Drosophila melanogaster: one gene and its partners. The protein of the gene in region 2 interacts with the protein of the main gene of each other region in a pairwise test. Each region holds a gene or a part of one and is shown on either strand. Other genes may lie near its edges. The genes, in order: ems, Crg-1 and CG10147.

Region 1 (10,937 bases), on a different chromosome or scaffold from region 2:
ACAAAGCCATGTATACCTTACATTGAGCCACATGGTGTAGAACTAGAACCCATATGCAGGCCCCAAATGGCAAACCCATAATTAGCCAGACCAACTTGAGGCTGGCACGCAATCCGAGCATTTGTTGGCCTGTCAGGGCGGGGTTATACCTTTTGGGGAGGAGCGGTGCCATGGGTCCTACGAACATACACATTTGTATGTGGCCCCCTGATAGCTTCGAGTATAATTCAATAACGGCATCAGCGATTCAGTTGCGGTCGTCACTAATTGATTGTTTAACCAGCTAAATGTCCAAGGCGGGATTTTCTCCAGCGCTTGAATAATGCATTGCACTGCGGGCAGCGTGGAATGGCATTTATTTCGATGGTCAATCGCGGCACAGTGGGTTGATACTAAACTAAATATAATGTATAACAATTACAAAACGCTTGAACTGGAAATATATTCAATTTAATAAATATTATAAGAAACAAATTCTAATATTATTAAAAACTATAATTCTCAGTTCCCTTCTGACCAATTTAAACCACTGTATCGATCATTGAAATGCCAACAATCATACGCAGCGTGGGCGCTCCAGCTCAGCGAGCATAAAACAGTAACAACAGACATCAGGTTGTCATAAAGAGTGCATATTTATGCGGCTAATTCGAAATAAAACATAAAACTCACCAAATAATATTAAGCGACTCTCGACGAACCCAATAACTGAGTGGCAGAGAAACCGAGATGCATATCAACAATTAGGACGCCCCATGGAGTTGGCCACGAAATCGGGAATTGGTAATGGGCAACCGAGAATTGAGAAATTTGACGCTTTTACGATCTGGGGGAGGGGGCAGGGAGTCTGAGATTGGCAGCAGCAGCATAATGTCTCTCTTTGATATACCAAATTAAAGCATTCGATATTTGATCGGTAAGGCACTTTGCATATGAAAGAGACGGCGTCTGGCGCCAGAAATCCGTGATCTAACAGTCAAAAAAAACACCCGGAGAGCGAAGCATAATTGAGGCAATTAGAAAACATCAAAATATTGGACCCTGGCCGCAGAAAATTGTTAAATAAACAAGAGCCAAAACGAGACGTTGTTGCGGCTCTTAATTAAGCACTTGAGGGCCCAAATTCGAGTCAAATGTTTATTCTGTTTACCCCGGGACATGTCGAGCAGTTGGCAATGACACAGCGGATCTGGAGTGTATATCTTATATATCTTGTGTGGTTAAGGAGCGGGAGACGCCCACCGTCGGATCATTCAATTAAAACGCTTACGAATTATTATTACGACAAACAAAATGTCGAGGGTATGGAAAAGTGATGCCAATCTAGCCGAACCGCAGGAAGTGCCCGCCGAGGAATGAGAACAATCGTTCTGTAAATTACAAGCAATTGAAGTCGGCCGATCGAGATCAAGATCGAGTCGCAAGACTCCGAGGCAAAAGTGAATGACGGAAGTGGGGTTAACAAGCGTGGCGGCCCCAAAAAGTTCGTCGCCTAAGTCTTTCGTTAGACAAACGGACCGAACATGGACTTTAAAATTAATTACTTAATTTAACACAACAAGCGGCCGGCGACACCTTCGATGATGTCTGGTGTTTCGGGCGACAACGGAAAGCACTAAACAGTCGTTTCGTTTGGGGCCAAAAACCTGTTGGCCTGGCCAGCACATCGCAACGCATCTCGGAACGATCCTTGGCCGGAATGAGCGGGCTTAACAGATTAGTTAGCATATCCCATATCAGGGTAATTATTGTTAAATGCGATAACGATCTTGTACAGCGCTGACATTTATTTATTTTCCTTAATTTCGCCGTATTAATCTTCCAGGAAACACACATTAAACAGAACACCGAGATATGGCACGTCCCGATCTTGAGCCCTGCACTCCAAAGGATGGCCATTAAGGGGCCAAGGGGTTCTGGTTGGGGTTGGGGTCTCGATCTTGGCTTGACAATTTGCATTATGCCGGCGATCGATCAGCGATCGGTGAAATCCAACAGGCAATAATGAGCAATGAATGGAGATGGGAGGGTAGGCAAAGAGAAACTCAAACTCAAGCCGCAACTCAATTAAAATCCGAAATAACTTCGAGACGAGACACAGCTAATTTAGCCAAATTGGATTACTTAATAAACTTTATGGGATAAGTAACAATAACAACGGGCAGCCAGTTGTGGTGCGTGGTGCTGGCCATAAAGTGAATGCGGCGTTGTTGTTGGCATTATTATTACTATATCTCTTTTTTTGGGGCGCGCCGCATAACAAACCTTTTGAGGCATTCGAAAATCAACAACAACAAAAGCGAAGCCACGAGGCAAAACAAGTTGTACAAACATATGTATGCTCGATATATGTATAACATCATCAACAGCCAACAACTTACCAAATTGTGTTTTAATTTCCGAGAATTATCAGCAAGGGATTTCATTCCGATTTCGGCTTTCGTTTTCTCTCCGTCCCTTTGCGCCAGTGTGTGTTTTGTTCTACAGAAACATTTGAAGAGTGATATTGGATAAAGGAGGCCAGCAGATAAGCCCCCAATCCCATATGCAGGGGGCGTGCCCCAGCCCCATTATTAATTACAGTTCCCGCTCGCGATGGGCCGTGTATCTTGAATCTTGAATTGGAATCTCGAAGTTTCCATCAAAGGTGCGTGTTTGCTAAGCAAACAAGACTTGCCATTAGCTGAAAGGTTTATGGCTAAAGCCGCGATTTCGATCACCGATGAAACATATAATTTGCCCACTCTGATTTACGACTATTGCAATTGTAAGCTTTGTGTTTGCAATAGATAGGTTCCCCCAAAAACCCCCCCTGATTTCAATACTGAAGGGGGGGGACCTTTGACAGAGTGCCACAATTTAGTGCTGTTAACAGCTAGTAATTAGACTCGTTATGTCCGTTAATTAGCCATATCAGCCGGACCAATCTAGTTTGCAGTTTGCCCATTGCAATTAGCCACTGCATATTCATTAGGCCACATTCGATAGCCGATTTCAGTTAGCTGATAGCCGATTTGGCGATAATGAAAACTGCGCTTATATACCGCCACAGTTTTCGCATAAATTTGTGGTTCAATAATCATAAATTTGGCTTTTAGATCATTAGCACACCTCGAGTGGCTTGTTAACCAGTTTCCAAAGCCACCCCAACCCCCAAAAGCCCCCGTTCAGCATCCACCCCCGCCCCTTTGATCTCACACGAACTGCGCTCAATTAAATTCTACAATAAAACACGATTTGCATTTTAAATTGTGCAATTAAAATGCTTATGAAATCTATAAGAAATAACGATCGCTAAATGCATTTTATAGCCGCCTCCTTCAGCTATCCCGCTCTTTTCAGTCGCGGCCGCACCCCCTCAATCCCCTTTTCCAGCGCACCTGTCACCATTTCCAGTGGACAGAAACAGCAACAACAATGTTAAATGTCACACGCTAATTAATTGACGGCGCATAATTTTTTACTCTGTCACACAGTGGGACGAACTCAATTAAAAAGGGGCGGAGATGCCAAGGCTTAAACAAGAAAAAATAAACTAAAGTAAAATATTGTTGAAGGAAAGTAATAAAGCTGAATGAGAAGTTAAAGTTCACACCCATAACTCAAAACATACCAATATTGTTTAAATTATAAATAAATTATCTAGTATTCTGGATAATAAGTGGTTGCCCCCAACACATAAATCAATCAAACATTTCTCTTTCGATTTCTTTTCATAATGAATATTTTATATTTTATATGATCATATTCGTTTGTGTTTCTTACAATCGTATTAGCTTAGGATGTAGTTACTAGCAACTAGGGCTTTATATTAGACGGCTTTAAATAATATCCAGCTGCAGTTGAGGGACTCTAGAGGTTCGTGCTTAAGACTAAACATAAATAAATGCTAGATCGTCATACAATATACAAGAATTATACAATAGCTAGTGGATCGAGTACGATTTGTTTTGAAGAATTCACTAATTAAAAGTAATGTCATGAATATTTACAGGCTTAAGTCATAAAATTTGTACAGTTATAGTTGGTGGTGTCTAGCCTAGGTTTATTTTTTCAGTGTTTCTTTTTTTGCATTTGATATTTGGGAAAGAAAGGAAACAACTTGCATTCTTTGAGCTCTACTCAACCTCGAAACTTCGCAAGGATTTGGCACGGATCTTGAGAGAGAAGTGTGGATGGAGAGAAAGGGTCTCTAATACTTTCCTATCTATATACACTTAGCCTAACGCCTTGGGATCGCTCTAAGAATATATCACAACAAAACAAACTATGTTACTCTCGCCGAGATTCGACTGGGAACCCTCGATAACTGGAACTGGACTGCATTCGCCAGGATAAGGAACTCACGGACCGCCGCAGGACTATCTCCTGGCCGCTTCTCTCAGTGGCTGGCGTCCAGCTCGTGCTCCTCATCGCTGGGACACTCGTCCATCTCCATGTCGATCAGTTCGTCGTCGTCCTCGTCGCCGCTGCCGTTGTGCATATTCCGCTGCGATCCTCCCTCGCCGCCCTTCTCATCCTCCTGCTGCATCCGCTTGTGCTTGGTGCGTCGGTTCTGGAACCACACCTTCACCTGCGTCTCGGACAGATTGAGGTTTTGGGCCAGGGCCTTTCTCTCTGCCCCCACTACGTACTGGTTGCTCTCAAAGGCGTGCTCCAGCTTCAGCAGCTGCGACGGCGAGAAGGCGGTGCGGATGCGTTTCGGTTTGCGGAACGGGGGCACCAGGAAACCTTGAAAGAGGCAAAGAAGAAAGGGTTTCGGTTAGTCATCGGTATTTAAGATCATAACTCACAGCAATAAATTAGCAATGACAATATAATGCAATTATAAGAGACTCATCAAAACTAATTTAAAACATATTAGCATCTTTCATTTCTTATTACATTTATGAAGGTTTAGAATTATTACTTTAAAGAAATTTCTCATTTTTTGGCTTCAATTTGGACTCCAAGAACTATTTTTTTCCCTAAATCTCCTTTTTTTGTTTCGCATATAAAGAATCATTCCAAAAGATACTTACTTCCAGGGAATCGGTGTGGGAAGATCCTTCCATGGCGGCTGAGCAGCCAGGGGTACAGCTGATAGCTATCCCTGGCCATGCCTGGATTGGGCATAAACTGGGCGGCATGGGGCGGCAGGCCGGCGGCAGCAGCGGCGGCGGCCGCTGGACCAAGCACATGACCCGCTTGCAGGGCGGCGGCCATCTGGAACTGGGCAGCGGCAATGAGATGCGGATTGTGCTGAGGCGGCAGCTCCGGCGGAGCGTTGATGTAGGGCGGCAGCGCCTTGATGTCCGGCAAGCCGGGCTGACCCTGCGGCATCGGTGGTCCTCCGGGTCCCATGGGAAAGGGGCGAACGAGTCCAGCGGGCGGCATGCCCGGCATCATCATGGGTCCAGCTCCTCCGGGATGCATCATGGCGGGCTTTGGATAATTCGGGGGCGGCTGCTGCTGTTGCTGCTGTGGCGGTGTGGCATGTGGACTGCTGATCAGCAGAGTGGGCGAAGACGAGGGCTGCGAGGACTGGGGGCTCACGGATTTGGGAGGCGTGTGCGGTGGCTGGATGCGCTGGGCGGGATTCTCGGCCTGCTCCATGGCAGGTGGTGCAGGTGAGCGTTCCCGCTTGAGGGAGACGGCCATCTGGGGCTGCTCCGTTTCGGGGGAGAGGCGTGTCTGCAGCGGACTCAGGCCGCTGGCCATGGCGGCATTGTGGTGCAGCCTCTGCAGCAGCTCCTGAATGTCCTGGTGGCTCTTGGGTGTGCCCGGATGTTGCTGCTGCATGAGGAGGTGCTGGTGGAGCACATGTTGCTGCGCAGGCGATAGATGCGGATGCGGATGTGGTGCCTGCAAATGCTGCTGCTGAGCATGCGGATGCGGATAGGGCAGTCCGTGGGCAGGAGGAGCCATCAGATGGTGCGGGGGCGAGCCTGGGATCAAGGTGAGTGTGGCTGGTGGCGTTTGGGGCGGCGAACCGGGCACATTGCGCTCGCCGGGCGGCGGACTCTGGGGACCGGATAGATCGGGCGTCGAATTGCCGCCGGCGGTGCTGACATCATTGCCCACAATGGACTCGATGCTGAAACCGATCTTCTGCTTTGGTGTGGGCATCATGACGGCTGCAGCGGCGGTGGGAACCGGCGGAATCATCTTAGTCATAAATACGGCGGTTAGTTCGGCTATGTTGGCGGCTTTTTTTTCGAGGGTTTAAGCACGGTTTTCTGTTTAATCTAATCTGTTCTGTTTGTCTAATCCTCTGGGAAGTCCTTATTTGTAACTCTCTATGTTTCGTTGATTTTCTCACACTAAGCGACGCATTGGAAACGCTTTCATATATACGTTTAGTTACTTTATTAATCACACACACACTCGGGTTGTCAAGACTTGTGCTCTACGGCGATCGACGCGCTCGTTTTTCTTATTTTTTGTGTCGGAAGACGGAGAATATAGACGTGTGCTCTCGACGACGTTCGATGTCTGAATAAATCCGGTAAGCCCGGCAACACCACCAAGTGTGCGCTACTCGAAGAGAGCTGAGCTGCGGCGAGTCTTCTCTCTTCGCCAGTACAGGCCAAACCAGTTTATCGGGCCAGAGCGGGAGGCACTGTGCTCGGTGTAGTATGGCCGTCTTCTTTGCGCGCGCCTTGTGGATTTTATCTACCCTGCAGATATGGCCTAGCTGCGAAGGAGCGAGTGAAATGGCTGCTTTTCGAGGGGCGGGTCCAGTTCGGTGCGCTGCCTTTACCGAATTTTCTGCATATGGCTTCCGTTCAAACAGCCACCACTATACGACTTTGTTGTTGCTCTTGGCCTTTGTGTAATTTGGCTTAAACTGCCATTCATAGTTCTTGTTTTTGCGGTTGCATTTCTGGGCCGGAACGAGCGCTAAATGGAAATCTAATGCCAGGTGGGCAAAATGTCTCTGTTTGCGGACTCTGGCCAAATTTGCAGGAAGTTCGAAAAGGGTTTTCGAGGCTTACAGAGGATGTGCGTTTTAAATATTTCCCTTGCTCAGGGGGATTTTTGTTGTGCAAATTTATAGTTTAGCAAGGATTTGTTAGACGCTCTTTATATATTTCTGCATAAAACTAAAGATTAAGGAATATAAGTATTTTGTTAATGGTGTTTTTAAAGTTCGTAAACCCCATTCAACAACATGGCGTAAAATTTATAATTTAAAATACTTATTTAATTTATGATATTATATATTAACTTTCCCTATTTTAAAACGTCCCGGTTTTCGTACAGCTGACAATCCAGTCCACATTAGCAATTCCACACCACGGATGCACTTCAAACTTGCTGTTTCCATAAATCATCTACGAAACTTGATCGGGACAGTTTTATGAAATGTGCTACCGGGTTTATTTTTCGCTACGATTTAAATGTTAATTTTCAGGCATTACATTTTTTTTTTGGCACACGACAAAGTTTGCATAATTTATGTAGTGTCCGAATCGCAGTTCCAAATCAAAATCAGAGCAGGTTCATCAATTGTCGGGACGTGCCAAATGTCTCACTTCGTTTCCTCGGTCAACACTATAACATTTCCTATCAAACCCCAAGAGTTTTTCAAAAACAATGGAATAATATTCGGTAGTGCTATTTTCACACTCTGTTATCAGCCGGAGCCGTCAAATTCGTCGCCGGATTTCTGAGATTAATGGGCTAGGAATCGGCGAGAGCACAACAACAGCTTGTGCGATAGATTAAAATCTATCAAATTTTTATGGCCGCTAATTAAGCCACGCATATTTACCCATAGCTTTCGGTTCGAATCGACGCAAGGCATAAACAACTTTCGAGTCCATTAAAGCGTAATTATGTTGACTAATGGATTTTGATTACAAGGCGAAATGCTGTCGAAAGTTCAGCGATTTTTAGCTGAGTCGGTTTCATTTGCGGTCTAATCTGCAAAACGTGTGTGTAGCTAATTCGATTTGAAACTCGGCATCTGAGCTTTAGTTTTGATTTTGTGAAAGCTTCATTATAAGTAAAAAAAGTATTGGTCGAAATGATAAATATTAAATATAAATATCAAAAATATTAAATTAAATAAATATTTAGAAGTAATACTCTGATATCTATTTAATCAATTGTGGTTAGAAGAATCCTTGCAATCAGACGGCCAACATTTCGACGAATCAAGCATAATTGAGTTGAAAGAAAACGCAATTTACCTTGTATTTTCGGTAATTTCACACGCCCACTGAGCTGAGTACCTCACCGCAGGAGCTCCAGGACTCGAAGGACCTGCAGCCAGCACAATCGTGCTGCTAATGAGCGAATAAAGATATCCTCTGGCCGCAGGACCAGCGGCAGTCAAGTGGCCAACTGGAGGACTCGGCAGTTGATGACCCCCCGCCAGAGTTCGCAAAAAGGAATGAAAACCGTAAAAAATGCAGCCAACAAAGGGCACAAATGCATTTATTAGATGGAAATAAAGAGGAACACAATGCAGCAGCCCGAAAGGTGTCAAAATCAACAATTTTCAGCCTGCAAACAATTCCACAGAAACCGAGGCACAGCGTGATGCAATTTCACCTATTCGAACCTCCCTCCATCCAGAAAATAAATCTACAGTATGCCAGTCCAATTCCCGATGCCAGTTCAGCTGAAAATTGGATGGAGAAAAAAAAAAACAGCAGTTTCACTTTTTGTCTTTTCGTCGATTTTGTTTTTTTTTCTGTTTATCTCGCTGGGAAAACAATGGAAAACGTGGCAAATTTTCCTTTGTTCGATTCGATGGCCAGAAATTGTTGAGTAGCAACAAAACAAGGCAACAGAAGACGAGAAAAATTGACTTTAATGATGATGAGTTGGCGTTTAGAGTGTGCGTTTTGGATTCATTTGAATCGAGTGTGTTTTCAGACCCATTTTCTCGGTTTTTCCAATATATATACTTTGTGTTATTGGCACAAACTCGGGGAAAACTCGATGGGGGAGCGAAGCGTTTAAATGTAATTAATTTCTGGCAACTCGATTGAGGGACAAGCGCCATCGCTAACTGCTTTTCCAAGAATACCATCGATCGATTTCACAGCTCTGCGTTATTTTCATATTTTACCCAAAACGATCTGCCGATAATTTGGGCGCTTGTAAATCCACGCGACCCAAGAAATTATGATGGATCGGCATCGAATTTTGTGGCCACATTTTCACGCGTTTTTCTTGTAGGGAATGGGAAAATTTGACTTGGTAGCAACTGACCGACGTTTTCGGGGGCAGGGGGGCGTGTCAGCCCTAAGAACATCAAACAACTGTACAGTGATGAGCCTGGCGTTTTCCAGGAAAACGAATTCCAGAGGAGCCCAAATCCCATTTGGAGAGAATAGCCCAGAAAAGGGTGCATCAGACCGAAGGATCGGATCATTTGGAATTTCAGGCACGACATATCGGAGCCAATCAAGCTGGACGTATTTCGAGTTACCACAAAGCCGTAAAATCATATTAAAACACAATTTCTGGTCCAGCACCGCGGTAGCGGGCCAAGATCATAAAACATTTATATCTAATCCTTGACAATCATAAAAAATACACAAACGACACGATGCAGCGCAGGGAAAATCTGACAAGGGCCAAGTGCCAGCGGCGAAAAAGAAATGTTTAAAATGTCGGAAAAGTGCTCGAGAAAAATAAGAAAGGGCGGGCGGCGTGGAGAAAGCGAATAAACAGTAGTCAGGGAAATGTCATAAAAATGTCTGATTTCTCCTTGAAATTCCCGCAGCCCCAAAACTATGCACTGGGAAAAATGCAATAGGCATTAAGAGAATATTTCAAGAATACTTGGTTAAAATTAGAACAGTTTTATATTTTATATTCGTATAAACAAAAGAACTCTTTTGATTTATGTACTGTGATTGTACTTACACTTATTTCTCACACTGTATCGCCTCCGCTTAGTACGTGTGTGCAAAACAGTGGAAAATAGTGGAAAACCATTCCAAATTCGAGGCATTTTTATGACACTTTCCGTAACGGGCATTCGAGCATGGCCAGCAGAAGGACAACCAGACAATCCTTTTGCGGGCATAAAAAATATGGTAGTTGCCGAAATAAAATCAACGTAATGTTTATGACTTTTTACCGGCGCTGCCCCACGTACCCCCCACTCCCCTGCTCGTGATGGCCCTCCTCCTTTGACCTGGCTGGTTGACACTTTCGTTTTGGTAATATTTTGGCTGACAGGCACTTTTGTTCGTGTGTCATTATCGTTTTGCCCAGATCCGGATGGTCGAGCGGGATTTATGAGCAGGCGACATGGTACGATTAGATCAAAACGATACAAGGACCTTTGTACAGTGAGGTCTTGAGATTTAGTTGTTATAGATAGTGGAGAAAATGCAACAAACTATTTACCAACGTGTATGTTCCCAAGATAGTATACACACCTAGAACTATATGTATGATGATAGTGCATTGTAAATATCTAAACTGATTAATATATATTTTCTATGGTCTAAATACCCATAAAAATTCTACCAAGACACATTATCATCTTTATCGTTAATTTCTCCCGAGCTAAGTAGATTCCGAGCTCGAATTCCGTGGCACCAGCTAAACGAATACAAAATCCCCCGGATCATCTTATAACCGCTTGAGTAACCCCCAGAGACCTTTTGAGCAAGTACCGCCCTCTTGGCATTCAACACCTCGCCATCCACATCACACATATGCCTCCCCACCCATCAAAATGATGGCCAAACCAATTACTCTTCTCGTCCTTATCGCAGATCTTTGCCCCTCTCCGCACACAGCGAAAACATAAATATACTCCCCCGAAATTTTCCCCCTGGCAAACACTTTATAAATTACACGCCCACACTTGTCGACTCCACCAGCAGTTGAATAGCCCCCCCAACCCCTGGCCATATCGAAACTAATGATGACAGCCAATAAAAAATTCCAACAAATGTGTAAATTTGTAGAAAAGCATGAAA
Region 2 (12,452 bases):
TGCAGCTGCGGCATGTTCAAGAAGGTGGGATTCTCAAGCGCAAAGTCGATGAAGTACTTCAGCTTCTTCAGATCCCCGGTTTGCATTGTGAAAGCCATTTCTGAATTCCGTTTTGTCTTGATGTTTTCAGATCTGATGTCCTGCAATATTTGCTTAGCTTTACGTCCACTTTTGCTCTGCCCTATCGATTGGTATGCATAAATACCATGAAAAAGTACTGAGAATTAATCGTCGGTATTTATCGCTTCGCTCTTGTATTTTTCAGTATTTTGTGCGTACGATAGTGCTCGAAAATGTGACAACTTTTAAAAGCTAACAGCACCAATAGAAACATTGAATTTTTTGCGTCAGCAAAATCCGTGTATTTTTATAAAAACCAAGCGTAAATTAGTAACAATAATAAAATAAGTTCCAAGTAAAATCTGAATTCATTTTTGTGAATCAACGAAATGTACCCGGCGCAAGCGGCAAAGGTGGGGTTGGCCGGTCAACCGATATCCGCCGGAAAACGACCAAGCAACGGCTCTTTCTGCCTTAAGCCTTTCTCTTTGCCTGTCGTCGATCTGCCGGAGTTCGTGTGTGTGGAGACCAAGTGTGTGACACGCAAGCACGCGCTAGAGAATGGCATTCCGGTAAAAGGACTGCATGCCCCGATCACCAATGGAGGCGCTACAGAGGCTCCCAAGAAATCAGTACAGCAGAAGGAACTCAACGAGGTCACTGGAATGTTTCCGCGCAGAGAGCGCGCCATTCAAACAGAGAATGCGCGCACTAAGGATGTGGGGTTGGCCGGTCAACCGATATCCGCCGGAAAACGACCAAGCAACGGCCCTTTCTGCCTTAAGCCTTTCCCTTTGCCTGTCGTCGAGCTGCCGGAGTTCGTGTGTGTGGAGACCAAGTGTGTGACACGCAAGCACGCGCTAGAGAATGGCATTCCGGTAAAAGGACTGCATACCCCGATCACCAATGGAGGCGCTACGGAGGCTCCCAAGAAATCAGTACAGCAGAAGGAACTTAACGAGGTCACTGGAATGTTTCCGCGCAGAGAGCGCGCCATTCAAACAGAGAATGCGCGCACTACGGATGTGGGCATTCAATGCCGTCGCGATTCGGAGGAGTGGTATTTACCAGAGGAGCGGACAAAGGATACCGGTTCTGAGGCCTCCGATTCCAAAGAATTTCTCACCTACGTGAGCGAGAACACATTCAAATTTCCCAACGACATGCTGGAGTGCGCGGTGTGCGGCGATGTGGCCAACACCTTGCTGGAGCACCACGGCCACATGACCGCGCACTATGGACCTGGTGCTCTGTGCTTTCGCTGTGGTCAGCGTGTGGACCACAAGAAACTATTGAAGCGTCACAGTCTGAGCTGTCCCGCTCTGGCGCCCAGGAAGTCATCAATGCTCTTTAAATGCCCACATCTACTCTGCAACGCCATGAGCCACTCAAAGATGCAGTTGCTCAAGCACCTGCGAAACCATAGCGGCAGGCAGTGCTACAGATGTCTTCAGTGCAAACGTTACTTCAAATCCACCAGCTATCTTTTGGTACATCGAAAAAAAGAGCAGAGCTGTGCCAAGGCGAAAGTGGTCGCCGTATTTAGCAGACACAACGGGTTGCCCAATGGAATAAGTGATCACAGACGTTGCTCAGTTTGTTTGAAGCGTTTCAGCAGCGAGCGGGTATGCCTGCGGCACCGGAGACAGTGCATCCTCGGCCATTATAGACGGCTGTCCAAGGCCCTCGAGAAGGAGCTATGAACAGCGTATACAAATCTTGACCTAGCTGGTATTTATTAGTATATAGAAATCGATAACAATAAAGCGAATAGATCCTTCGAAAAAATTCCGCCACATACCCCAAATTTAAATACATATCCATATACATACATATTCACATAGGATCGAGAATGTAATGAGCCACAATTAAGTCCATAACTATTGCTGAAGAAATTTATGTGTGCCCTCATTGATATTAAAACAGTTTTCTGTTAATCATTTTAGTATTTTTTTATATTCAATGTTTCGTCAAGTTTTTTGTTTGCTTTTGTCTTTGGTTTTCTTGATTTTTATTCTAGAATTATGTTTTTTTGCTGATTTTTTTCATTATTTTAAACTTAAATGAAGCATAGATTATTTATATAAATATTTACAATGCTCTTTGCGATTATTAGGGAGTTGTTGCCGCTGCTTTTTTACTCTTGTTTTGCTTGCCGTCCTTATCTGCGTCCATTTTTGTTTCTTTCTATCGCGATATTTTCCATTTTTTATACTTATACTCTAAAAACTAATTTCGGGTTACTTTTCATTCATTTTGTTTTGCGTAGACTTAAGAAAAAAATGTTTTTCGCTTTTGGATGAATCTTCACTCCCCGCTCAAACTCTTCTGTTCCTCTTCTGATCTTTCTCTTTAAGGTTTTTTTTGTCTGGCTGTAGGCAGATTTCATATCGGTTTATTATATATTATTGAAACATTTAGCTTGGTAGTTCATGTTTTTTTTTTGCAGCTTTTATATACATATCTACATTTATATGTCGCAGATCATTTAAATGTAACGACATTTCTAGTAATTGCGTGTTTCTGCTTGGCGCGCCATGCAGGCGTCTTTTCTGTTCTTTTGATGCGCGACAGAGAACCGTTAACGTAGTCTGGTCGATGGTAGGAGCGGGAGGAAGTAGATGCCTGCAGGAATAACGGAAGCGTACAGAAAAATGCGGTTAAATGCATTAGTGTTTATGTATGTGGACTGGAGTGAGTCTCCAAAATGTGTTGGTAATGCGTGTAGAGTTAAGAACTACGTATAATTCTGATTTTGTGAAAAGAGATTGGGTCAGTCAGTGATCGATCATTGCGAAGAACAGACATGTCTCGCTTACGCGCCAGAAAACGTTGCGCAGACAACGAGAATAGTGAAGAGGAAGAAGGGCGTCCTGATGACTCTTCGACATATATGTATATATTTCTAATAATACGCCTTGGATGTTAATATTTCATCCCCCCGTTTGCCAACCAACCAGCCAACTGGGGGCCGCAAGGTAAATTTGTGAATGGTTAATGAAAAGTTACCCAAACTGCACGCCCATTCGAACTGAGCCGAAACTTCTTGGACTGTCGATTCATTACATTAAATGCGGGGGGTGGTGAGGAGTGCAGGTGCGCAGGTGATGGGCAAATGTCATAAATTATTTGCCTCCCCCTCCCGAGCGGGGTGGTTTTATATGTAAATTTATATAGGATATTTACACGCAACATTCGCGGCTGCGGCATCAAATATTTACACTGATTTCGGGTATTCGAAGACAACAAAAGAAATGAATAACAAAAAACAGGTGGGGAGCAGTGGGGGCGAAAGGCCAAATTGATGAACCTTGAAAAATGTGTTAAAACTTATTGTTTTCTTCGTCAGCGATTCTTGACGAATTGATATTTTCGAACTCAGCGTGGTAAAAATGGAATTTTGAAAAATTTTAACGTTCTGCGAAAAGTAGGTAATGATTAACTAGTTTTGAATACTTCTGAATGATTAACTAATACGGAATGAGCCGTATTAAGCACTTATCATCATAAAACTAAGAATTTGGTATACTCAACAATTGCCACTAAACAATCCAAAAGCCAAAATTAATGGGTCGCTATCCGTATAAGCTGATAATACCAGGGAATACCAGTTTGGCATAAACAACTTGTTGAACAACCCGCAAATAGTTTGGTTAACAACATTTTTGTTTTTCACCTTATGCGAGCGAAGGCAAGGTAAATGCAATTTTCTAGCCCATAAATTTGTTTGAGCTGCTAATTTTTTTGCACTTTCATTGTGGCCGCTATCGTTTGTTTGCCGGTGTGTGGCACTTTGTTTAAGTTTGGTTACCAACCAAGGAACGAAAACATGGTAAGAAGAAATACCCAGCGAACGAGGAAATCAAATGGCCAACGGGAATAGCCAAAACGAAATGCTTGAGATTTGTTTAATTGCATCCTGGCTGGCGTTTTTTGCCATCAACAAAAATAACAGGATGGCTAGCACTCCACAAAATGGCGTCCATCCGAATGGGCGGTGGGCGGTGGGCGGTGGTGGTTGATTCAGTGGGTGGTTCGATGGGGGACAGTACTTACGATATCCATTGGTATATGCCCGACACAGTCAGCTCACCCTTATCCTCGAGGGCGTATTCGATGAGCTCCGTGTAGGTGAACGGTGGTTTCTTTGGCCTGCTTGTTTTGCGGTGGTTGGTTTTGGATTTCAGCCACATTGGTGGGTGGTTCGGTGGTTTAGTGGATCGGCGATTGCGTGGTTGGGGAAATTCGTTGGCGGCATCGATTGGAGGACGGCATTGAAAGCAAATGGAGAACGCACAAATCAGAGAGAAAGATTGTTAAATATATTAAAAGAAAAGAGAGAATGCTATAGTCGAGTTACCCGACTATCAGATACCCGTTACTCAGCTAGTGTGAATGCGAACGCGAAATTTAATCATCTTTCTGGGATGTCGATAGATATTGGGGAATAAAATGAGAAAAAAATTTAAAAATTGATCCTGATCAACAAATTTTATATATACTTCAACGAATCTAGTATACCCTTTTCCTCTATGAGTAACGGGAATAAATAGATGTTTCAAATAAATTAGGAAATATAGAATTTAACCGTTGACACTGTCATATTGTTTTATTTCTGCAACACTTACGCCTTGGACGAAGTATCCTCGACGACAACGTGCTCGGCAACTATCATGTCGTTACCGTCCAACTCCGAGGTGACCTCCATCACCAGCTCCTCGAACTTGCGCCCAGTCTTGGTGGAGCCCACGCCGGCCACGCCCCCCGCTGCTGAAGCGCCAGCGGAGCCGTTGCCTCCTCCTCCTAATGCCGCTGGCATCGCTGCACTGGAGCAACTCTTGGGCGATCTGGCCCGTTGATCCACCAAACCCGATCCGAGAGATTGATTTGTGCTTATGGCGGATGCGGATGCCGATGCGGCGGAGGCGGATGATGGCGAGGAGGAACTGCAGGGCGACGTGGCGATCGGCACTGCCGTCGATGGTGGATGAGGTGGAGCACTGCCCTCCGGCAGATTGACCGCCTGTCCGTGAATCTGATTGTGCGGCGATAGGTGCGGGAACTCGTCGAACTTAAAGTTGAGCAGCCACGAGAGGTTCTTATCCTCGAAGTCCGCCTCGGTGGCTTCATTGGCCCCACTAACCGAACCGGATGAGGTGCGTCGGCCCGCCGACTGTATCCGCTGCTTCTGCGGCACCAGAAAATGTTGATTCTGATGTGGGTTCTGACCAGGAATGACATTCTGTTGTGTTGACTGCTGCGTATGATTGGATGCATTTTGAGCTGATGATGATGTTGGTGGTGGCGGCGGCAAAGTGGCATTCAATTGCCCCAGTTCCGCCTGCAGGCCGGAGTTATAACGATGATCCAGCTCCAGCAGCTCGCCACCGGTCCAACCACCATTGTCATCCAATGGAGCACTCGATGGTGGACAGTGCGAATAGGCGACGGCGGGCACCAGAAGACTGCTCTCATAGGAAAAGAGATCGTTGATGAAGGACGTCGAGGATTGGGCGGGTGCAGCGTTGGTTGGCGGATTACTAGGTGGCTGTTCCAGCTGCAGGTGGAAGTGCAGGTCCCCGGCATCGTAGTCCAAGTGTCGCTTCTTCCAGGGATTTGCCCCGATGGGCTCGTAGTCGTGGCCCAAAGCCAAATCCTCCTGATCGTCGAACTTGCGCTTAAGAAAGTTGTAATCACCGGGAAGATTAGTGTTCGTATCATTTTGATTGGTGGTACTGCTATTGTTGTTGTTGTTGCTGCTGGGATTCGATGTTGGGCTGGATGCACTGCCCGTTCCATTGACGGGCATGTTGACAATCATGATGTCCCGGCTGTCTCGATTTCAATCACGTTAGCCAAGCCAAAACACACAACTCACACTTGGCGAAAAAGAGCAAGTAACACGAAAAAAAAATTGACCTGCTTCGTCTGGGGGACGGACGAAGGATATTTCTTTCTTTATTTCTCAATCTTTAGTTTAGTCAAGAGCGGAAATTGGGAATTAGTCGGTCCGCACTGGCTAACTGGCTAACCGTCTCGCGCTGCGACTGGCCACGGAATGCGATGGGCCGCCAGGAGTCCAGACCAACTTGGCTGTTGGGCTGAGCTGCGCCTGCGCCCTCCTGCCACTCATCCACATTCACATCCACCACCCCGGACACCCAGTCATGCACATAAGCGGTACGTCTGCAGTCGATGGAAAGAGGAGCCGTACCTGTGATGGCGCAGGTACAATAAAATAATGCAGACACTTCACTGTATTATATTTGACATATTCGTTGATATATGTTTCAACCATATCACCTGCTTATAAATATATATTTATAATTTATATATAAATATGAAAAATATCAAAGCAAAGAAAGCTGTCATAGCTTCTAAATAATCAGTCGTGTACGCTGTACCAAGCTGAGTTTAAAAAGCAATCAAGTACCTCTAGGTACAACCACCCAGGTCTTGGCATCGCTGAGCCCAGGTCATGTGCCGCTGGTTCTGCTTGGTCGCTCGATTTGGCCATAATCGAACATGTGCGCCAAGCTGTCCGTTAGCCAATTTCGCGCTGACATGGGGCGGGGTGCGGTAGATAGGTTCTGGATCCAGGGTGCAGGGTGCAGCCATTGAAGCGTCTAATCGACGCTTTCATACACCATGCGTACCCAATGTCCTTCATACAAAGTGAGCAACCCACACAGGTGATGCGCCGGATAGTTTAAGGGACTACGGCTCCATCTGTCCAACCCGCTCGAAAAAAAAGCAAAAGTATCTCCCCTTTTACCCGTTTACCAAAAAATATGGACATTAGCAATTCGGGTTCTTGTTGATTCGTTTATTTATTTCCATTGATCACTGGTTGAATGAGTGTGTGAATGAGTGTGTGAATGAATGGGCGATTGCTTTCATGTTGGGGGGCTAAATGCATTTGCTTACAATATGATTTAAATCCTACTCAGTACAATTTTGTTTGACCAAATGATGCGATTAGTTTTATCCGTTTCTTCGTTCTCGGTAATTTAGGCTAATATTATTGAACATATATATATTTTTTATTTTCTTTTGGTTGTTTCTCGAGCTTTAGTTCAACTAGATCGATCGGCACCCTTGAATCTGACTTGACGTCTAAACATTTATGTTTTGTTCGTCACAGGACAATCTTTTGATTTACCTGTGAACTGCAAATGTGATAAGTTTTTAAGCATATTCTAGCTCCTTTGTATAGTTTCATTTGCCACTTTAATGGCCGCAAGTATGCTTTTCAATAATATGTGAAGAAGCGTCTCCAGCATCTCCAACATCTCTTTCTTCTCGATTTAAATAAATGTTGCTTATTCTTCTGACTGCTTGTAGTATTTTGAATATTTGAATTTTCTCCATTGTCGCCCGTTCTTTTACGTGTTGGTTAAGTTAAAGCTTAGGAAATGTTTGTTTTTTCTCAGCTGCAAAAATGTGTAAGGCAGCCGCTTTCCCTTTTGTTTTTCGTGTAGTCCATCTTCTTCACCGCACTCTGTTGCTTTCTCTTTCTTTGTTGTTTTGTAATCTCGCTCGATTTCGTGTAATTGGTTGTTAACTTCTTTTTATCGACGCATGTTTCAGTCTTACTACTGCCCCATTTCTAAACCTTAGTCCAAACCGTCATCGACGAAGTCGGCGGAGTCCTTTTTAGGCTTAGGCTCGCTCGGCTTTCCAGCCTTTTCACCCGCTTGGCCAAAGGCAGCACCCACATCTCCACCGGGCACAATCTTCTTGATAAGGTTGTATATCTTCGGGTTCGACGCGTACTTTGTGATGTTACCCGGATTTGACAAAATGTCCTACGAAAGTTAATAAATAACAACGATATGATTACTGCATTTGTATTAGAAATAGAAAAGTAGTATTCACGAACCTGAATGGCGGCTGACACCTCGGGATCTGACATGGCGCCCAGTATATCAGACATATTTCCGTTACCAGGATTCCCACCGGAAAATTCTCCAGATGATCCACCAGAGCTGGCATTGTGCTTTTCCTGCTCCTTACGTGCGCGCCTCTGATCCCGCTGGCGTTCCTTGATCTTACGCTCTGCCTGGCGACGCTCCTGCTTCAAGCGATGCTGCTCGATTTTCTTGGCATTCGGAGTGACCTCCTTTAGCCACTCGTCTGTCTCCTCGTCAAAGTCCAGCTTGCATGCTTGGCGCAAATCATGGGCAGCCAGCTCAAAATCTCCGAGGAGGCGACGGGCGCGTCCCCTGAACTTGTAGCCAGCCGCCAAATCCGAGTTGAGTTCCAGCGCCACGTCGCAGTCCCGAATGCAGGCATTCGGCTTCTTCAGCTTGAGGAAGGCCTGACCACGCTTAGCGTGGAAAAGGGCATTACCCGGGCTCAGTTCAATGGCCTTGGTGTACAAGGCGATGGCCTCGTCGAACTTCTGCTGGCCGTAAGCGGAGGCCGCCTGGGCGCGCAGCTCGCTCGCCTGCTCCACCTCCTCTTCGGTGGCCTTCTTGCTGTAGTTGCCCATGGGTTGGGCGGGGTCGCTGTCCGCCTCGATCACACCTGAAGGCGTCGGAAGTAATACGGATAGAAGATACATAGTTTTAATTGGCGTATTACATATATTAATACTGCAGGATTCGAATTTGGGTAAACGCTAAGTTTGCAGTGTCGAAAGGATATAAGATAAAGCAACTGCCAGCACTGCGACAGCAACGCATCAAAGTCCAGGGTTGTGACCCCCAATGACCACGTGACTCGGCAAAATTTGCACACTCACCCTCCATGTCCAGCTCCACGTCCGACTCAGGATCGGAGAGGGACTTTTCGTCCTCGCTATCCTCGGGGGCATTGGCCGGCTCGTTGGCCTTGGCACCAGCAACACCGCCGAATGGGCACTTGCTGGAAGAACAAGCCGCGGGATGAGCAAATCATACAATCGTGTTGTTTTGAAAATTGGTCAAATAGTTCGGTTAACTTACCCTCCGGCGCTGCCACCGTTGAATTGGCCAGGCGGCACCGTGCCACCAAACTTCTCCACGAAATCTTTGACGAACTGCAGCTGCGGCATGTTCAAGAAGGTGGGATTCTCAAGCGCAAAGTCGATGAAGTACTTCAGCTTCTTCAGATCCCCGGTTTGCATTGTGAAAGCCATTTCTGAATTCCGTTTTGTCTCGATGTTTTCAGATCTGATATATTAATATATTAATATTATTAATAAGCAATATTTGCTTAGCTTTACGTCCACTTTTGCTCTGCCCTATCGATTGGTATGCATAAATACCATGAAAAAGTACTGAGAATTAATCGACGGTATTTATCGCTTCGCTCTTGTATTTTTCAGTATTTTGTGCGTACGATAGTGCTGGAAAATGTGACAACTTTTAAAAAGATAACAGCCATTTTCCGCCACATACCCCAAAACTAAATACATATATATTCACATAGGATCGAGAATGTAATGAGCCACAATTAAGTCCATAACTATTGCTGAAGAAGTTTATGTCTGCCCCCATTGACATTAAAACAGTTTTCTGTTAATCATTTTAGTATTTTTTTATTTTCAATGTTTCGTCATGTTTTTTGTTTGCTTTTGTCTTTTGTTTTCTTGATGTTTTTTTTTTAGCTTTTTTCATTTTGTTTTGGAATTAATTTATTAATTAATTTTTATGTTTACTTATTGATTTAGTATCTTCTTCGCGCTTATCTCTGTCGTCGCCGCCTATTTCGTGTTTGCATTGTTTTTTTTTCGGCTTTCTTCGCCTTTTCTTGTGTTTGGTGTGTGTCTGGTTGAAGGGGTTAAGGGTCAGAAAATGGTGAAAACTGGTGGTGATGTTCGGGTATCGGAAGGGAGTGGGTGGTGTCGATGGCCTATTCTGAGTGCCCTTCTCTCCGTGCTCGCACGCATACAAATATTTTTCATATCCGTTCACTTTAAATAATTTTTTAGCATAACTATTAAATAATTTGTTTATATATAATACATACATATATGTATATATGCACACATATATGTATATTCAGTTTGTTTTTCGTAATTCGTTCAATTTAAACTTTTTAATTATTATCGTAATTATTTTTTAATAAAATACTCAACAAATAATTTAATGGGCTTTGTTTTTCTCGTCTGCTCAACTGTCTCATCGTTTTTTTCTGCTGCTGTTTTTATTTTTATTTTCGTTTTTTTTTCTTTTTAAGTATTTATATTTTGATTCGTTTAGTACTATTTAAACACTTAGTAGGTATTAATTTGTTTAGCTTTATACGCTTGCGTGTGTGTTCTTGAGTGTGACAACTTTCTCTATGAAAAACTCAATAAAATCGAAGAATTAAAGACAAATAAATTAAAACATCTCGTGGTTTTTTTTATCAAACATTTCGCTTGTTTATTTTGTTTCTCTTTTTGTTGTTTCTGTTTCTTGGTTGTTGTTGGTTTCGCTGTGGATCAAACCGAAACCGTTAAGTGATAATAAAAAATAATGATAATGGTAATCAAAATAATAATAATAGTTTCCTTTTAAATATGTATAATTTATAATTTAAAGATGTGCATTTTACATAATTATATAATAGATAGATTCGCTCTCATTCTCTATGCATCTCCTTTCATTATCTTCACATTCCTTGCTTTCCTTTATCTTTTATCAAATTAAATTAACACACACTCGCATCCAATCGTTATCGACAATCGATGACATCACATCGATATACACACACATTTAGATATCGACCATTATGGGCTAATTCTAACGGTTACATTAAACGGAAAAAAAAATCGGAATCATTATCCTCATATCATTATTCTTTATAGAGATGCAAAAAAAAAATTTAATCTTACAAACTGATTGGCTAAAATTAAAGGAAAGTACGTACATATACAAATTTGCATACAAATCTGAAATGGTTCTTCTGGTTTTTTATGTTTTTTTGCTGGTTTTCTTCATTAATTTAAACTTTAATTAGGCATAAATTATTTATATAAATATTTACAATGCTCTTTGCTATTTTTAGGGAGTTCTTGCCGCTGCTTTATTACTCTTGTTCTGCTTGCCGTCCTTATCTGCGTCCATTTTTGTTTCTTTCTATCGCGATATTTTCCATTTTTTATACTTATACTCTAAAAACTAATTTCGGGTTACTTTTCATTCATTTTGTTTTGCGTAGACTTAAGAAAAAAATGTTTTTCGCTTTTGGATGAATCTTGCATCTTTCACTCCCCGCTCATACTCTTCTGTTCCTCTTCTGATCTTTCTCTTTAAGGTTTTTTTTGTCTGGCTGTAGGCAGATTTCATATCGGTTTTACATACATATAGATCTATATATTATTGAAACATTTAGCTTGGTAGTTCATGTTTTTTTTTTGCAGGTTTTATATATGTATATATATTTCTATTAATATGCCTTGGATATTAATATTTAATACAATTTACGCATAGTGCATTACAATTATAATTTTAAAATTAAAAAAAAAAAAACATGTATATATATCGATACATATATGTGTAATTTTAATAAAAACTATTACATTAGTTTACTATGTATTTAGAAGTATTTTACTTCAAATAGGTTTATTTTCTGTTGATTTTTCTGATCCGATCTGATCTCATGAATTACGCTTTTTCTCGATTTTTCTTGCATTTCTACTTATTTTCTTTTCTTTGTGGCATATAAAAAAATGGTTTGATTCTATGAATTTTTCAGTTTTTTTTATCTGTGGATTTGTTTGTGGTTCAGATACGACTATATACAAATGTATATATATATGTATATATATATATATATATATATATATATATATATGTGTGTGTGTGTGTGTGTGTGGTGTTAATGTTTATGGTATTTTTATATTTAAATCAATTTTTTTTGGATTTTGATACAAAACAAACAAAAATGACTTTTATATTTCAAATTGAATTAAAATATAATTGGGATGTTTTTTCCGATTAAAAGCGTTAAAAGGAAGAGATAAATATATATATAAATATATTTATAAAGATTTACTAGTATGCTTCAATGTTTATGCAGATATATATATATATATATATATATATATATAAATATAAATTTATACATTTATATAATTTTTATATTTTATATATATTTATATATTTATATCATCATTACTAGTAACTATGCATGGACACAAAGTGAAAATTTACAGTTAACATTATTCGTTTTGTTTCTTTTAAGGCAAAATTAGTCTGCAGTGTCTACCTTGTGTGTATGAGTAAGTGTATTTTTAATGTTTGAACCACAATCACAATCCAGCAGATAATGCAATAATTTGTTATTTCCCATTGCAAATGTCCCCTATTCTCTGCGTCTTTGTAATCCTTTTTTGCGTTTTTTGCTTTGTTTGTTGATGCTTTTGCGACTCGCTGTGAATTTTCTTGGGATGTTGTTATTGCTGACGGCGGCAGTGTGGC
Region 3 (10,497 bases), on a different chromosome or scaffold from region 2:
ATGTAGTTGGGAGGGGGGAAATAAAACGGACTGGAAAATGTGCGCCAAAAAACGGCGATAGAAAGCGGGCATGGCGAAAAAACACCTGCCAATTCGAAGCTGCGGGCTTAAATCACTCAGGCCCAAGTAATTCAAACTTGCAGTGGCTTTTAAATGCCAGAAACATCCTCGCTGTTACTTTTTTCGACTCTAATCTAATCGCAACAAATGGCAAATGTGTTCTTTGGTTGCTGGATAATGCAATTCCGTTGTTGTCGGTGGATTTTATCGGCCACAGCAGATACTTTATATTAGCTTAAAATTTTATCGGCGTGTCGGTTCGCGTCACACGCAACTGGCTGTAAAAGCATTTGCGTGGCCCAAGTTTGTGTCTTGAGTAATTCGTTCGCTCAAGTTTGTGTCCTAAGTCATTCGTTGTGGCATTTGCCATTTTGTCGCTCGACAAGTTTGACATTTACTCCAAACTAATTTATGCCCGGCAGTCTATTAAAATTCTGTTTATTAATTGGTACACATTTTTCCGTTCTTATCTTTGCAGAATTAAATCAGCGAATGCCAATGGTAAGTGAATAAATGTTTTCTTTATTCAATGATATTATTTAAATGAGACAAATGATTTGTAGTGGGTGATTAAATGGGAATCATCAGGTTATATAAAGTGTGTTTGTTTATTAGTTAGCAAGCTAGGTATCTTAATAGATTGCTACCGCTTTCAAAGGCTTACATTAAATGCCTTACTTTCCCATAAGAACTTTACGACCAAAATTGTTATCCATCCAATATCTCACATCTTCTAAAAAAAAGCCTGATGTTTTTTTGCCACGTCTGATTAATTAGCCAAGCCAAGTCAGGTCAGGTTTTTTGTTACCTCTGCTCATCATCGAGGGTCTTGCCTTCTCTTTGCATTTTCATTTCCATTTTTAATTGCATAATTCTGCCATGGCATGCAATTCAAAGAAATCTTTCGTTCTGGGGACCTCAGCTCCCTTTTTTTTTTGGTGTGCCAACATTTTAATTTGTTTTCTGCGACTGGCGTGGAAGGAAGGTAAACTAACAAAATGAAGACAAATTTTTGACGACAATGCATGAACTTCACGTTCGTGCCACAAATCAGAGATGCTGCTGCTCCTCCTGCGGCAGTTGAAACCGAAATCGAGAGCCATGAGTATTATATATGGCTCCAGGCTACGTGCTGGCAAAAACTTTCGAGTAAAAGAAAATTTGTAGACAAATTAAGGCAGAGGCAAAACAATTGTCATGGCCGCAGACTTCGTCAAACACGTTTGAAAATCGTGCAAAATGGCTAGAGGAGGGCTGGAGGACTCTTTCTGCTATTTGATTTAGTTGCTCGATTCTGGCGAGTCTTTCAGCATTCAGCAGTAGGCGAATTTTTGACATCCGATCCCTTTTCAGGTCGAAATCTTTCCCTTTCTTCAGCTCACTCCCTTTCTTCCGGAGGCTTGGCGCCAATTTCACCGTCCGTCTTGTGGGCCCGACAATCGACATGCAGGACAAATTGTTGACGGCATTTAATGTCACAGCAGCCAATTAGCTGTCCCCATGAAAATGCTCGTTTCTTGTTGGTTTCCTTTTTTTTCTTTGGTTGGTTTGTTTATTTGTATTTTGCCAAAAAGTTTTTGTTACCCACTTGTTGGGGTTTTTTTTATATAATTTTCGTTGGTGGTACGCACGGCTGCATGTTGATCCAAGCTAAAAAAGAAACAAACCGAGAAACAAACAATCGCCACAAATCGTTAAACTGTCAGCAGCTTTTAAAGCGCGTGATTATGTCCAAGTCACCGTTGAGAGTTGAGAGACAAGCGCCAGTTGCCACAGAGTTTTTTTTTCGGATTTTTTTCAAGTCTTTTTTTGCGTCGAAAGAGAAAATTTTCAATTGCCCAAAAATGCACATTTAAGTGGTGTTTATTTGTTGCAACATTTTTTTGCAAAGGTGAAAAAGTGGGGACTGAATTGAACTGAGTTTTTATGGGAGTCTGTAAAAATGGTTAGACATTAAATTTGTTTTTTATGAAGTTAGCTAAAAATGTGTCGAAAATGTATATTATATACATGAGTAGTGTTTATATCTGTGCACATGTTTCGAAATTACCTAATTATCTACACAATGCTGGAATAAGAATGTAAAAAACTTACAAGAAAGAAACAAAGGATTTCCAATTTGCATATTTCAGCAATCGCAATTAGCCATCACAGCAAATGGCAATTGCAACATTCGATGGTGTCAATTTACTTGGGAGCTCTTTGAAATTATCTTTGAACAGCAGCCAACGTGTCGTATGCGTAACATGGTCTTAATTATGCATACAAAGAACTCACAGTAACCGAGCAGTACAAAAAAATAAATAAATAAATAAATGAAAAATACTAAGTGACATTGCATTAAACGGGTAAGACATAGCACCGCGATTGGCATTATCTATCCGACTATTAAGACTTCATTACACATGTCATATTTGCCATTTGCGCAGCAAACAGTAAAAATAAAAATCCAAATAGCACACATTAAATTCCAAAGCCAAAGTGCTCGTTAATTTTTCGTTTATTTATTTTTGATTTTGTCCGCTTTTCATCTGAGCAAAAGTCGACTGCGAAATATTTTGTTAACAACAATTTGCCGCTTGCAGTTTCCCTGCTGCCGTTCTGGTGACTGCGATAAGCAGGCGAAGATAAGACAGCCGCTATAGCTGTTAAAATGCAGTATGGCACAGTGATCCATAAAGTAGTATGAGTTCAGAAGATATTTTCGTAATATACATTCAGTACATTTCTGGGCTATCTACCACTGTGCTGCAGCATTGAGAAACCCCGAAAGAAATCGTAAGTGCAATGCAGTTGCAGTCGCAGCTCAGTGCAACTTGCATCGGCTCGATTCAGCTGAGTTAGCTGTGCAGTAGCCGCGGCAACATCGTTAACACGGCGCAAAAACAGCCATTAAAGCCAAGTTTCAGTTGGAGCTGGGTCTCTGGATCTTGGAGCTGGGTCTCTTGGAGTCTGCGACTTGTGTTTGCCGCATTGGTGACATGCACAAAATGCATGTATATGAGCACCTACGTACGATAACTTCGGTTCGGGGGTAATAATCGCCGCAGTCAAAACCATTGCTGCTGGACATTCGCTTAGCCGAAGTACGTAAATCATAAGCATAAAACAGACTTCGACTCCAACTTCGCCATGCAAGGTGCACTGAGAAAAAATTGTACGCTTTGAAAGTAGTTTATACGTTTCTTAGAACAAATTGAGTTTGGCGTAGCGATTTATTTTGTATGTTTAATTGTTTTATAATTTTGTATTTTATCAAGCTAAGTTTCTCTTACTTCTGGCATATTTCTGCCAGTGCACATGGAACTGCATTATGCATGTGCATAACTTGGGAAACCATCGCTGCCGTTGCGTATGCTCCACGCTAATTAGCTGAATCGCCCCAAGTGGCTCCGAGTGGCACCATCTTTTCCAACTTAATGAGAGTGAAAGGCGAGTTAAAATATATAAAAACTAAATACACACATTTGCAAGCGACTCTAGGCAAATTAAACGGCGATGAGTTGGAAAGTCGAGACGATGGCCGTTGTGGTTCGGATGTTGAGAACAGGTCCACCGCGTTTACAACCAGCAATTATACGTGTTTGCCTACTGCGATTCTCAATGAGCGTTTGGCGTCAGTTGTCTATAAATTATGAGCTTAATGACGTCCAGGGTTTTATGGAATCCCGGCTATTTGGATTTTGAGTGCCTTCAAACGCTCGGTTGAGTCACACACACACGGGAGCTCCCATTAACCTTCCCATGCCCGCCTGGGCATTATGAGATCACATGTGCTGATAGCGAAAAGGAGAAACATTTGGCATTTTCGGCATTTTGGCTGGCTGGCTGCTGCTGCTGCCACTGCGGAAAACCACTCGGTGGTGCAGCGGTGCAGTGGTGCAGCGGTGCAGTTTGTTTGCCACCTCGCTGCCAGTTGACAGCCGTTTAATTTACGCTTTGTTTGTTTGTTTGTTTCTGTCTTTTGTTTGCGTCCTGAGGTGAATGTTTGATTTATAGCCCGATTATAAACCGAAATGTCATAGATATCTGCTGCGTTCGAATTCGGCTTGGATTCGATAGACTATCGTTCCCTAAAATATAGGAAACGAAAATCATCAAATTAATATTTGATACTATTACCTAAAAAGTAATAAGGATGAGTTTAAAAATTTGCCAACCCAACTGCACAACATTTTTTTTGGCTATTTATAAAACTAATCCACATTCCTTTGGCTGATTTCCCAATATTTTTTAATGAAGCAAGTGTCACAGATAATCCACACAAATGGCAATTGTAATTTTCGTTCAATATATACTCTTTCGCAATTATCGCTGGCCAGCGGACAACGTGTCGTATGAGTAACATGATTTTAATTAAGCAAACAGAAGATAACGACCTCGTGGCTAACCCCTCTATGAATTCCCCTTGCAGGTGGCCGCCCGCAGCCTTGGTGGTGTCGCAATAACCGAAACGGTGGCCAAAATCGATCGCCCATCTCGATCAAGCACTCGGCGGACAGCATCCGGCGGCCCACGAGCAACTCCGGCGTTTGGACCTGGCTGGGCGGCAGTCGTCGCTCCTCCGCCGGTCCCGACCAGATCGGTCCGCCGTCGACGTCGCCGGCGGAGAACCACTATACCCACATGGACGATGCCTACAGTCCGGTGGGCGTGAGCGAGGCGCTCTACGCGGAACTGGATCGCGAGTCCGTGCGATCCGCCAATCCCTCATATCAGAATACGGCCTACAGTCAGTGTGGCGAGGTGGGTAGCGCAAATAAAGTAAAATAATAGTTGGTAAATTGGTTTAATACCTACAGCCCAATTCATGACAGAAATTCAGTAATAATTCAGAAAATAATCCTGCAATCCACCCTTCATTACAGAAATACAATTACCAGGGCCACGAGCAGGACATTCCCATGGTGGTCTCCTCGGCACCCAGCAGTGCTTACTATTCGGATCTGTCGGTGACCGCGATGCCCGGCGGAGCGAGTGGCAGTAATCAGGGCGCCTACGAGATTGTCGGACTGAACGTGATGTCCCAGCCGCTGCCCAACTGGGATCATCATGGCGGAGGAGTGGGAGGTGGCGGTGTTGTGGCTGCAGGAGCAGCAGCCGCCATCCTTGGAGGCGGTGGTGGTGGGGGCAATGGCCTTACGCCGGGCGAGGCTGCGGCGATGACGCAACGACGAGGTCCTCGACTGGCGGCCATCAACGAGACGAGCACCAGCACAGTGCCCTCGGACTATGTCTAAATGGAGTAAGCGTTTAAATACAAACATAATGTGAAATGTTCAGCGAGCTTAACATGTTAATAGGATATAGAAGTACGTTATATACACCCCACAGATCTAAGGTTAAATTTACATAATATTTAACACTGGCATACCATAGTGTTTAGTGTTTAGCATGGACTTGTGTCTTTGGTTAATGTCTGAAATTATAATCTGTACCCGTTGCCGATATTGGGATATATTTATACACACTTACAAGGCAAGAATGTATTATATGTCTAGTTTTTATGTAGTCTCTAAGCAACGATTTAATCGTGGGTGATATTTAGCCTAAAAATATGCTATATTCTTATGTTCTACGTACTTTAAACATTTTCTAAAAATGTAAAAACGACAACAAACGCATTTTTTCATAGGCTTAGAACGAGTGAAGTGAACGCGATGGACAAGAAATCGTATTTCCCCCCAGGATCAGTACACGCAAATATAGAAACGATATATACATACGAATACAACATATTTATACACTCAATATTTACAGCAGCCGAAAAAAGAAAACGCATTTAGCTCACCAACATATATAACTATACAAATATATATCTATAACAATAACTGAAGAATCATATTTACAACGATTTTAATGCAACAGATTTCACCATATTTACCGGGGGAAATGATCGTGGCACGTCATATCATTTACCACACCATTATACATATGTATGCAAAGCTATCTATATACTATACCATATACAATAAACAGACTCACGACCTTTAGCAGATGTACTTTAGTTTTTAGTGGTCCGCGGCAGGAAGCGAATCCTCTGCCGATTTATTTAGTAACACACACACACACACACACAATTCCTGTACATTATTGTTTTAGTTGAAAATATAATTAAACAATTATTGATATTTACATTCTGAATCCCAAAAGGAAATGGTTCTTTATTGGAGTATTTATTTGTCGATACAGTAAGTACAATAGTACTCTTAAAGTATATAATTTCATTTTTAACCGAGTAAAAGGTTTTAGTTCATAAAAAATAGGTAATAAGAAAACAATTTTATAAATTCAACAAACTTAAAGTTTAAGAAACAAACAGAACGAAACAAAAAACTATAACTACACTTCATAAAAGAATATGCACTTTACCCTTTACTTCCTGATTTGGATAACTTGGCATATTCTCAAACGTGAATAACTTAAACCAAAGTTTATTGCAAAACTCCCCGTATCCTTATACTTCCTGATTTATTGTCAGTATTCGAAGTTATTGTCGTTTACTTAAAGTGTAAGTTGCAAATGTGACTATAATACTAAACGTCTTTTACCCTAATCTTCCTGATATTTTCGTTGTTAAGGGTAAATTGACATACATAAATGGTAAGAAACTAAAAGTGCAGTTTCTTTAAAATAATTCACTTTACCCTACACTTCCTGATTAGTGTTATTAAGGGTTATTGTCTCCATTCATAATCTCTTCTTGTTTTGTTAACATTATTTGGGGTTATCGTCATATACTTGTACCTTCCACCTTCTGATTTATTGTCATTAACTTATACCCTACACCATAAGATTTATTGTCGTTATTGCGGGTTGTTGTCATATTAATTAGTTTCTTGATAAGATAGAAAAACTACAGCTTATTAATTAATGCCATTTACCCTAAACTTCCTGATTTGTTAACGTTATTAAGGGTAAAATGGCATGTATTTGTGCCATTAGAAACTAAGACTAGTTTATTAAAAATTGCCTCTTCCCTGCTCTTCTAATTCGTTATCGTAATAAATCCCTCAATAAAGGAGGTATGTAAATATTAATTAAGTTGTGAGTCAAGTAAAATACGATATGAATGTTGTACTTTCCACTGAACCTAAAATAGAAATATGTTAACTTCTTTAACCCATGCTAGTCAGTTGCAGCAGAGCACAAGCGGTCTGCTGATTATCCCCCGATTCGTGGACCTTGCGATGGGTGCGCAAGGCAGAGGGTTGTATAAATTTCTTGCCGCAAACGTGACACTCAAAGTTCTTTTCGCCAGTGTGGGTCATTTCGTGATATTTTCGCGTGTCGGTGGTGGCAAATTTCTTTTCGCAATAGCTGCAGGCATAATCTCGTGCCTTCTCGTGGATTGCGCGGATATGTTTCTTAAGACTCGTTGAGCTGTTGCAAACTTTGGGGCAATCCTTGCAGGACCAGGTCCTTTCCAGAGTATGATAGTTGATATGCAGTCGCAGTTCGTTTTTGGTCGTCTTCTTGAGACCACAGTAGGGGCAACTAAAGTTCTTTATGCCCTGGTGACGCATCATGTGGATCTTGAGTTTCTCCGTGCTATAGAATCGCATAGAACATTCCGGCAGTTCGCAGGCATATGGCAATACCAGCTGGTCACCGTGTGTGAACCGATGCTGGCTTAGGGCAGAGCCAGTCTTGAACACCCGACCACAGAACTCGCACATATGGGTCTTCAAAGGCTTGCCAATGTCGTGAGCCTTGCTTTGGTGGTATTTCAGCGAGGCCTTGTGCCGGTACATCCTGTTGCAGCCCTCCTCCTCGCAGACAAACCGCATGCCCACTTCCGAGTGCTCTAGCTCGTGCTGCCTGAGGTTCTCGAATCGGTTGAAAGCTTCCTCGCATCCGGGCTCAGTGCAATGATACAGCATGTGTCCCTGGTGTTCCTTCTTGTGCAGAATCAAGCGTTTCTCCTCTCGAAACTCGTCGGCGCACAAGTCGCACTTGTATGTGGTCAATGGCGGCTCCTGAAATCATTGAATACAACTTAACTTACACTCCTGTTTAAACCTTAAACCCAAACTCACTTCCAAAGCTTTCTTTTCCGTTTCCGGGGGTTGCTGGACATTTTCGGTGAAGGTATGGAATACCAAGGTTGGCGGTGCCTGTTCAGCGACTATTGGGGTATTTTGTGCACTCAAATTGGTATCACATATAATCATCTCCGGCGGCTCCAATAGAAGTTCTTCCAGCTCCAGCTCCTCTTCCTCATCTTCATCGACCTCGTAAACAGGTTTCCTGCGATCTATTTTCTTCCAAGTTACCAGACTTTTAGAACGCCACTTATTGTCGGCTATAATGCAAAGTGCTCGGAAGGAGTGGAACTTCTCCAGAAGCTCGTAGCACTCCGAGCAAATTTCGCTGGGCAAAATATCCTGGTCATCAGGATCCACCACCAAATTTGTGCACTCCGAAAATTTGACGGCGAGATATGGATGGTGCAGCAAATTGTAGGCCTCGTCGTCTCTAGCCACATCGCTGGAGCATACGCGGCATTTGTCCAGGTGTCCCATTAAGTGGTTGAATCAAAGTTATTGAGACCTTTTTTTAAATTCACAAGAAAAAATATTTTTCTGTGTCCTGTCTGCCGTTTTTTCTTATCGCTGTTGTTTGTATACTAAACAGCTGATAGGGCTGGCAAAAATACCGCTGATAGCAATAGTGATGGCAAATAATAGCGTGAGTTGGAAGGGGTTAAATAAATATAGTATAAATGTTTAAAAATATCTACTGTAAGCATACCACAAATAATGTTAAATACATTTATATTTTTAATCCTTGCACGTACAATAAATGAAATTAATCGTGACTTAAAACAGCTTGTTACTCGTGGCACATCTCTAGCACCCTGTGCTAAAGTCACATCTCTAATGGGGGGTGTATAAAAAGTTGTGCTGTTGCAGTTTGTTATTTATTTTTTTCCAGCACAACAATGGATAATTCCAATGGAATCCACTACATTGAGCTAACCCCAAATCCCATACGATTTGATGCTGTCAGCCAACTAACCAATGTGTTTTTCGATGACTCCAACAAGCAGGTATAGTTAAAACATGTTAAAAATCCATGTTGATGATGGCTAAAAATCTATATCTGTAAAGATATTTGCTGTTCGGTCTGGAGGAGCTACTGGTGTGGTGGTCAAAGGTCCTGGATCTCCCGACGATGTCGTCATCTCCTTTTGCATGAGCGACCGTGGCGGTGCCATAAGGTCCATTAAGTTCTCGCCGGACAACCAAATCTTGGCCGTTCAGCGAAAGGAGAATTCCGTGGAGTTCATATGTTTTCAGGGAGATCAGCCTCTGCTGCAGGACATCATTACCCACCAGGTGAAGACTCTGATCCATGGCTTTGTTTGGGTCCACAATCGAGAGGTGGCCCTGATTTCGAATACCGGCGTGGAGGTCTACACCGTAGTTCCTGAGAAGCGACAGGTGCGCTCTGTGAAATCCCTGAGCATTGGCATCAAGTGGTTCGCCTGGTGCTGCGATGCCAATGTGGCTCTACTGTGCACCAGCGAAGGAAACTCCCTGATTCCGGTGCTGGTCAAGCAGAAAGTAATCACCAAGCTGCCCAAAGTGGACTGTAAGTAATCCTTTTGGGTTAAAATCCTTTAAAAGCGTTTTAATCTTTCCTTTCAGTGGGCAATCCAAGTCGCGATGTCCAGGAGAGCAAGGTCACCTTAGGCCAAGTTTACGGCGTGCTGGCTGTGCTTATCCTCCAGTCAAATAGCACCACCGGACTGATGGAAGTCGAGGTGCACTTGCTCAATGGACCGGGCTTGGCTCCACGCAAGTGCCATGTGCTCCGCTTAAGTCTGCTTGGTCGCTTCGCCATCAACACGGTGGATAATCTGATTGTGGTGCACCATCAAGCTTCGGGCACTTCGCTGCTATTCGACATCTCCCTGCCCGGAGAGGTGATCAATGAAATAACCTATCATACACCCATAACTCCAGGGCGCTCCATCAAACCGTTTGGCCTGAAACTGCCCTCACTTTCGCCTGATGGACAAATCTTGCAGTGCGAGTTGTGTAAGTTCTTTAAATATCCAAAAAGTTACTTTATTTGACACTTATACCCATGCAGATTCCACGCACTGGGTACTGTTCCAGCCAAATATTGTAATCGATGCCAAGTTGGGTTGCATGTGGTTTTTGAACCTCTGCATTGAACCATTGTGCCAACTGATTTCGGATCGCATTCGACTTACAGAATTCCTGCTGCAACGCAGCAATGGCAAGCAGATGCTATTAAAAGTCATTGGACAATTGGTAGATGATCAGTATAAGGGAACTCTATTGCCAGTCCTAGAGACCATCTTCAGTCGGATTAACAAGATCTATGCGTAAGTTAAAGACGTTATTTTCATCAATATATATTTATTACATTATGCATGGTATACTTTAGGTCTTGGGTCCAGTT

Evidence for each region.
Region 1: the proteins of Crg-1 (region 2) and ems interact in a two-hybrid assay, tested with the Drosophila melanogaster proteins (one large-scale study listed by BioGRID).
Region 3: the proteins of Crg-1 (region 2) and CG10147 interact in a two-hybrid assay, tested with the Drosophila melanogaster proteins (one large-scale study listed by BioGRID).

Annotation. Positions count from the first base shown.
Region 1 is NT_033777.3:13,897,398-13,908,334, reverse strand, and holds ems (empty spiracles), read right to left. Parts: upstream 6,483-10,937; 5' UTR 6,157-6,482; coding exon 5,022-6,156; intron 4,732-5,021; coding exon 4,382-4,731; 3' UTR 3,715-4,381; downstream 1-3,714. UniProt on the Drosophila melanogaster protein: Acts as a homeotic selector gene controlling antennal and mandibular segment identity.
Region 2 is NC_004354.4:3,786,893-3,799,344, reverse strand, and holds Crg-1 (circadianly regulated gene), read right to left. Parts: upstream 6,123-12,452; 5' UTR 5,939-6,122; intron 5,882-5,938; exon of another isoform or gene 4,685-5,881; intron 4,483-4,684; 5' UTR 4,254-4,482; coding exon 4,117-4,253; intron 2,686-4,116; coding exon 2,478-2,685; 3' UTR 2,006-2,477; downstream 1-2,005. Other genes in the region: HIP (Hsc/Hsp70-interacting protein), read right to left, coding at 1-98; HIP-R (Hsc/Hsp70-interacting protein related), read right to left, coding at 7,677-7,868, 7,943-8,589, 8,807-8,928, 9,009-9,181.
Region 3 is NT_037436.4:6,479,757-6,490,253, forward strand, and holds CG10147 (uncharacterized protein), read right to left. Parts: upstream 8,669-10,497; 5' UTR 8,586-8,668; coding exon 8,100-8,585; intron 8,040-8,099; coding exon 7,179-8,039; 3' UTR 6,411-7,178; downstream 1-6,410. Other genes in the region: CG42747 (uncharacterized protein), read left to right, coding at 539-561, 4,475-4,806, 4,929-5,300; bulli, read left to right, coding at 9,005-9,112, 9,174-9,657, 9,714-10,106, 10,162-10,420, 10,483-10,497.